2 linked regions of the Schizosaccharomyces pombe genome follow. The protein of the gene in region 2 binds, or shares a complex with, the protein of the main gene of each other region. Each region holds a gene or a part of one and is shown on either strand. Other genes may lie near its edges. A codon is read from its position in the direction of its gene.

The links.
Region 1: the proteins of ten1 (region 2) and stn1 are in contact, whole or in part, in a crystal structure (PDB 3KF6), measured with the Schizosaccharomyces pombe proteins. Residues at the interface, in NP_001343093.1 of Schizosaccharomyces pombe: Asp2 (codon at 1,769), Ser3 (codon at 1,772), Ala4 (codon at 1,775), Leu6 (codon at 1,781), Lys20 (codon at 1,823), Arg22 (codon at 1,829), Val66 (codon at 1,961), Leu79 (codon at 2,000), Arg81 (codon at 2,006), Ser82 (codon at 2,009), Ala83 (codon at 2,012), Val84 (codon at 2,015), Gly85 (codon at 2,018), Ile86 (codon at 2,021), Asn87 (codon at 2,024), Arg90 (codon at 2,033), Tyr91 (codon at 2,036), Met94 (codon at 2,045), Val95 (codon at 2,048), Glu97 (codon at 2,054), Arg98 (codon at 2,057), Cys101 (codon at 2,066), Asp102 (codon at 2,069); in NP_001343021.1 of Schizosaccharomyces pombe: Phe22 (codon at 2,365), Tyr55 (codon at 2,211), Ile56 (codon at 2,208), Ala57 (codon at 2,205), Asp71 (codon at 2,009), Asp72 (codon at 2,006), Cys73 (codon at 2,003), Ser74 (codon at 2,000), Gly75 (codon at 1,997), Met76 (codon at 1,994), Val77 (codon at 1,991), Ser98 (codon at 1,928), Pro99 (codon at 1,925), Gly100 (codon at 1,922), Asn101 (codon at 1,919), Pro129 (codon at 1,835), Asn130 (codon at 1,832), Glu132 (codon at 1,826), Trp133 (codon at 1,823), Trp136 (codon at 1,814), Gln137 (codon at 1,811), Met140 (codon at 1,802), Lys143 (codon at 1,793), Lys144 (codon at 1,790).

What each region holds. Positions count from the first base shown.
Region 1 is NC_003423.3:1,160,655-1,164,917, forward strand, and holds stn1 (telomere cap complex subunit Stn1), read right to left. Parts: upstream 2,429-4,263; coding exon 2,320-2,428; exon of another isoform or gene 2,265-2,319; coding exon 2,166-2,264; exon of another isoform or gene 2,036-2,165; intron 2,012-2,035; coding exon 1,242-2,011; 3' UTR 831-1,241; downstream 1-830. Other genes in the region: protein mim2, read left to right, coding at 3,664-3,838, 4,188-4,231.
Region 2 is NC_003421.2:819,095-821,922, reverse strand, and holds ten1 (telomere cap complex subunit Ten1), read left to right. Parts: upstream 1-1,704; 5' UTR 1,705-1,765; coding exon 1,766-2,074; downstream 2,075-2,828. Other genes in the region: mrpl20 (mitochondrial 54S ribosomal protein mL58), read right to left, coding at 1-279; Cu(2+) transporter complex subunit Ctr4, read right to left, coding at 2,595-2,828.

The sequences.
Region 1 (4,263 bases), on a different chromosome or scaffold from region 2:
CATATGAATTACTCGAACTGGAAAGATATTCTGCAATTCAAAAGGCCCCTTAGCATGAAGGAGCTAGAGTAGTATTTTTCATACAATAATACCAAACATATTAATCAGTTAAGATAATATAAATTTTGGTAATATTTCATGAGCAAAACAAAATACCACAATATCATTGTGTGTAGTATGATATTGAAATTTAAATTTTTTAAGGAGGTTATAATGAAGCTTCCTTCATAAAAACAATCTTACACGACGGGACTCGAACCCGCAACCTTCTCGTAATTCACTCCCCAACAACGATCAGGTCGTATAGGAATGAGATGCGCTACCATTGCGCCACGCGTAACAACCTTTGCCTGGTTAAAATTTAGTATAATTTATGCGTAGCTTATTATGAGGATTAAATTTTGAAATATAGATTTTGCGGCATAATACGAGCTTAAAGAAACCAATTATTATATTTATTGTTGCTTATTGAAACGAAATAAATTTTATTCGATGTGTGATCTCCCAGTGCGAGAATACTGGATCAATTAATAGATTGACATAACTCTACGACCATAAGCAATTCTTCGATACCTAAAAAAAAATAACAACCACCAATATGAAGTGTCAATTTAGTAGTTAAAAACAACTAAAATAAATTGCATAAGTTTATGGGCTTATCTCGTTTTTACTCAACTTCAAAGCAGTAAGGAGCATCATTGCAATCTATACAATTGGCAATCGGATGCCTTAATCTTTTTTTTTAGTAGTTAAATCTTATCTAATATTCCAATTTCAGTATGAAGAGCAGCTAGATTTTACGACATGATCAGAAAAGACATAGTTTTATCCTCATGACTTCCAACTATAATAATCGAAGTACGATGCTTAGGCCAGTAAGCGATGCAAAGCATTTCAAGTTTGAACTTCAGGAAATTAAGAGTAACTTATTATCATGCTTAGTTATATTTCTTTACCCTAGATTGTATAAGCAGCTGATGAATTGGTGCTGACCATTAATTAAATTTGATGCAATGATGCTACTGATCAATTCAAAAGTAAAAAAGAAAGCTTTATACATGTAAATCTATTTCATCATCAGATTAACCGCTTATATACCCATGTGTACTTATTGATCTGTTTCCGTAAACATATTCTTAAATTAATAGAGGATTGTAATATTGCATATAGAACAATGAACTTAGTTTTAGGCAATTAAATCTCCGCGTCAATGTGATATTAAAGGAAACTGGAAATTCATTTTATACAAACTGATTATCTCGCACCCAGGTATATTTCTTTGCTTGCCTCCATTTCCCTTTTGTACGAAGCAAAAATTGACAAATGTGTTTAGCAATCGCAGAAAGAGGGAGTGTGATAAACATTGGGTTGGAATCTCTCACTATGCTTTGAACCTTGTGGGCTTCGAGAAGACCACTTGCCATCAGAGGAATCACAAAGCGTATTATGTCTTTTGAAGTGACAAGCATATAAACTGAATTTGACTTTCTCACAATCCGCCCATGTTGTAGTAATGTTTGCAAAGAGAAATTAAGCGCCAGTATGTGATTTCCATCACAGTTCTCTACTATTTCATTTTCGACGTTGAATATATGAACAAGTGGGAGGTGCAACTCTTTTGCTTTTAAATAAATAATGAGTTCTTCAATTGTAAATCCAGCTTGCACATTTAATTTACACATCTGCCTTATGCACTTAAGTAACTCCTTCGCATGATCTTTAGGAAAATAGGATTTCTTGGGTGTGCGAATGATTGAATGGTGATTTTTAGAGATTTTGGTTAAATTTTTTTTGTATCTCATCCTTTTCTGCCATGCCTTCCATTCATCATTTGGATCACGAAGTTCTTCAAACGACTGAGCAATTAATTCAACCTCAGATCGGAAAGAATTTATCTTTCCAAAGACACAGACAACATTTCCAGGAGACATAGATATTGCTCTTTTTGACATTGAAAAATCATCTTGAATAATAAACACGACACGCAATACCATCCCGCTACAATCATCCACTAAATTCAGTTAGGAAATAGAAAAAAGGGAGCTATAGAGGCAGATGCTTCTCAAAAGTTGATTTTATAAAAAACCTTAACTAGATTCAACAACTAAATGAGTCGTGTATGCAGTAGTGGAACTGCTTATTGCCTCAATGCTGATATTCGTTACCTGTTAAAACATGCTTTCCTTCATAAATATCAATTGCCGCAATATAGCCAACAATTTGAATCCATCTTATGGGAAATCCCATCCAGAAGCCAATGTATCCTAGATATTTGTAAGAATCACTTTGTGATATTTATTTTACAGAAAGAGCACTTACGCTGTAAATGTGGATGAAATGAAATTTTATGAACATCGCTAATAAACATGGGGTTCCATCTTGATAATGTAGGAAATTGATGCGTTAGTTGATTTTCATTTTCTAGCATTTATTAGGTCATTCCCTTAAAGACTTTCAACCATATGATTTGCAATTTTTCAAGTATATAAGTAAATAAAAATTAGTATGCTTCTGGTCAACTATCAACAACAATCGCAGCGTTTTCGAAAATTAAGCAATGATTTGGTGTTTGTGAAGTCTTCATCTTCCTGAGTGCGCGTAATAAGGATAGAGCAATTCTACGAGGATAATAACTATTTAAGTTTCTACAGTAAGATTAAAAGGAAAAAAAATATCTTAACTCTTTATTAGGACATGCATTGATGCTGTTATAAAAAATGCTAATTGACTAAACAACTTTATCAATTGAATTTAGTCTGGTTTCACGCAACTTAGTTATAATTGAATTTGAGAGAAGATCCTAAAAAAGACGTCTACTGACAAAAAGTGAGAGTACAGAATTCGTCAACCAATTTTGTAAATGTCACACCAATGTGCATTGTTTATATCTTGCTAAATTCTAGCACACAAATTCCTATCTTCATATACCGGATAATTCTAAATTATATGATTTATTTATGAATAGGGAATACGCAAGGAGGTATGAAAACCAAACTTCTTCAGTTATTGATGTTTCACATTCAACTGTTTTGAAGATAAATTATATTGCTCCTACTGTGTTCGATCAAGAAACCTCGTGGAAAAATGCATTCTTTAAAAGAGTAACTAAAAAAAACCAAAACTCCCAACTTTTTTTTGTTTTATGTTTATAACGGTCTATCAATTCTTCAATAAAGTGTTACCAAACAAAGCACTTAGAGGTAAGGATGGCAAAAATAAAGGCTTTTCTTAGGTCGAAATATTTGTTGTGAAACAAAGGGTATCCGCGAATAGCATGACAGCGGCTGTTCTGCTCAGCTTTCATCTGAAATTGAATAAACTAGCAATACCAAGAATACAAACAATGTACCCAAACTCATAGGTAAAGCATATAGAAACAAATAACCTCTTATCATCAGTGAATATGAATTATTTTTGCTGAATATACTCCCTGTTTTCAAAATTTAGTCTCACATGATCAATGTTGTTTCGACAAATGTCCTATGTATAAATGTAACAGCCACTATGTGACCTTCACCAGAGCCATACTTGGTAATAATACACTTTTAAGCATACGTTAAAGGGGTTTCGATTGCTGACAATAGAAAAATTTTTTAATTAAATTCTAAATACAACGTTGCTAGTTCAATCGAACTATTCTAAAGTCAGTTTAGTGAAAACAACATGGCCGAAGTTTTAGATCTTGAAATTGACCCAATTTCAGATGGAGAAGATGATACCTATTCTAGTGAATTGGATGATGATTTAAAGGATTCCATTGAACAATTGGAACGAGTTTTATGTTTGGTGGTGTTCCCGTTGTTAGGAAAGTTTCTTGGTCGTAAATTCGCATTTCATGGTAAGTTAGTATAAATTAAAGGAATAGGAATAGATGGTGGATTTTTTTTATTTGCTTTTAGTTTCTCAAAGAGGAAATAAGTTTTGCAAATAATTGAATAATAGAGCAAAAAAATCCGTTTTTGGAGAAAGATTGAGCACAACTGATTTTCTTATTCCATCAGCTTGAATTATAGCTTTTTCTTCCTATAAACTGTTTTTAAATGGTCTGCTTGTTGGTCTACATTTACATCTTTCGTTATTTTTTAAACATTTTTGTTTCCATTACTGTTCTATTAGTCTTTCATTCTTAACCTTTTCTACATCCTTAAACTTCTGTACATTTATTGTATACTAACCCTTGGATTTAGCATGGGCTCGCTGGTTAGAACGGAGGCGCTTGGTTAGTAATTAAAAAGATTTATTTCTGAATCTTCTTACATTCGC
Region 2 (2,828 bases):
TGCCGGCGGGAGAAACATTGACTCTTTGGAAAGTGAGGTATCACGCTGATGAATTGGAGGTGCATCATAGCGAAAAACAGGAGGAGTAATCCTAACATCTGGAGAAGACGCTGGTGGATTGTAATAAGCAGATGTAGTTTCAGTTACCTCTGCTATTTTGGAACCCATAGGAATTTTAGGTCGCTTAGGAATACGTTGTTTAGGGTATAGCCGGTTCAAATTCCGAGTCTGAATGAAGCCTACAGGCTTCAAAAATGAAGGTTTGATTGTAAACAACATGTTTTTACTCTTTCAACTATTTTAATTTTGGTGTCGCTTTAGAAATGATGCTTTAAATTTTTTTGAGAAAAGGTTATAACACAAAAAACTGTAAAGGGCCTTTTGGATAAACCCACACTTCAAATAATATTAGTTATAACGAAGATTCTCAAAGCCTAAAAGCTATAGCAACGACGTGACAAAAGAGCTCAATGCAAAAAAAAAATAAACAGCAAAAAAACACGCAAAAAATCACTTGGAAGAGTTCTAACTTTTGAATTTACAAGAATCGTATTAAGGCTTGCAATTTTCCGAGTAAAAACACGAAATTACTCTCCAAATGCGGGTTTCCTGGAGTTTAGCAGTCTCTATATGCACAGTATCCACACTCTTAGTTTCAATACGTATAATGCAGTGTGTTTATGGCACCTTAAATGTATATTATATAATTCGTTATATTAAAACTGGTTTTTGGCACTTTGACGGTTTATTAAGAGAAATCGGAAGATTCAAGCTAAAAAATATTGTTAACGGCATTTTGATTGTAGGATAAATTCAATACAATTTTGTTTTGCTGTTTTTTTTTTAAACCATTTCTAATCTGTTCATGGTTCAATTTAAATACCGATTATATTGAATACTGGAAGCATGATATTTTAAATATTAAATTAAATTTATTTTATTTTTTTCAATTTTCCATAGATTTTTAGGAAATGTACACACCTTTTCAAACTGACCCAAATTTTTTGCAATGTAAATTATAATATCAAATGGTTAAGTAAGGGGTAACCTTTTGTTTACAGTCAGCTTCAATTTATCAAGTGAATATTAGCCGCATTGGCCCTATAACTAAAATCGGAATTTATTACAAGAACTATTGATTTCTTATAAGGCCTTAAACAACTACATCAGAACATGTTTCCAATTCTCTGCTTGATTTTAATCAATATTATAATGGTATAATAAATAATTATCGTTATCGTTAATAGCTACTTATATTATACAAGTTTACAAGATATTTCAAGAAGCTTTGGTGGTTTAGTGGTATAATGAATCGTTGCCATCGATTCGACCCGGGTTCGATTCCCGGCCAAAGCATTTATTTTTCTCTTTTTATATTCCATCTGACTTAATTTATAAAAACTAATCAAAAGAACCATGCTTGCGTTTTTTGTGGAGTTGCTCAAGTAAACCAATTCATAAATAATAATAATGGAAATGTTGGTCTATTTATCAATCTAATATGCCTCACTGATAGTACTATACGATTATTAGATTTTGCTTTTACTATTGCAAACGAGAGTGTAGTCTTTCTGCACATTTTAAGGATTAATGCAAATTTTTCCTTTTGAAAAAGTCAAACTACGTTTTCTTAATTAAAGCTGCGATCTTAAGTCGCTCATTTACGAAATTCATATTTCAATCGATTACCCAGTTTCCAAACACAAACTATACCACCTTCCCTCATCTTTCCTTGTTCTCCTTTTTACAATATATTTAGCAGCTGATGGATAGTGCTAAACTTATCTTCATTAATCAAATTAACGATTGTAAGGACGGCCAAAAACTTCGATTTTTAGGATGCGTGCAATCATATAAGAATGGCATTCTACGGTTGATTGATGGATCAAGCAGCGTGACTTGTGATGTTACAGTAGTTTTACCTGATGTATCTATTCAAAAGCATGAGTGGCTCAACATTGTTGGGAGAAAGCGGCAGGATGGTATTGTGGATGTCTTGTTAATACGATCTGCTGTTGGAATTAATCTTCCGAGATATCGACAAATGGTTTCTGAACGTCAAAAATGTGATTGATGAATATCTTATGTAGTTCTGTTGCACCATGTCATTACAAACTCATTTAAAAATATATAGAAAGTGATCACCTTAAGATACCATAAAGGTACTGAATCGTGTTAATGTCAGTCTTTATAATAATAAATATTTATTAACCTCCAGGTTCAAAGTCGAAAACAAACAATCATGGTTAAAAAAAAAAAGGAACGAATTACATCTGTTCAAATTGCTATATACTCTAATTTGAATGTTTAACTAACAAAGATAAGCGTTACCTTGTGGCATCTATTTATTTTTGTTGAAACTTTTATTACTTTGTAAAAACTTAAGACAAATTACCAGAATTTGTTTTGTCTTTCCAACATGGACATGTAATATGTGGCTTCAACATTCATCAAAGAATCCTCTTCCAAACTATCAGTGACTGTGCGAAAGAAATTAAAGCGAAGACGATTATGATTAATCAGACGCTTCAGCACTGAAAATGAGTGAGGTGCATGAAATTGGGAATACTAAACCAAATTTAGAGATAATCAAGCTATTCGGTTGTAGGTGTTGTGTCTGAATATTGACTGGAATCATGTTCGTGTTTTTCGTCGGCGACTTGAACGATCGTTTTCGTTTGAACAGATGAAGAGGCCTTAGTAGAGATGGTATCCGCACCAAACAGGAAATAGCCAAAGAAGGTGCCACAAAAGAGAAATAAAATTACATAGCCATTATAATACATTGCGAGTAACATTGCGATATACGCGACAATATACTGGACTAG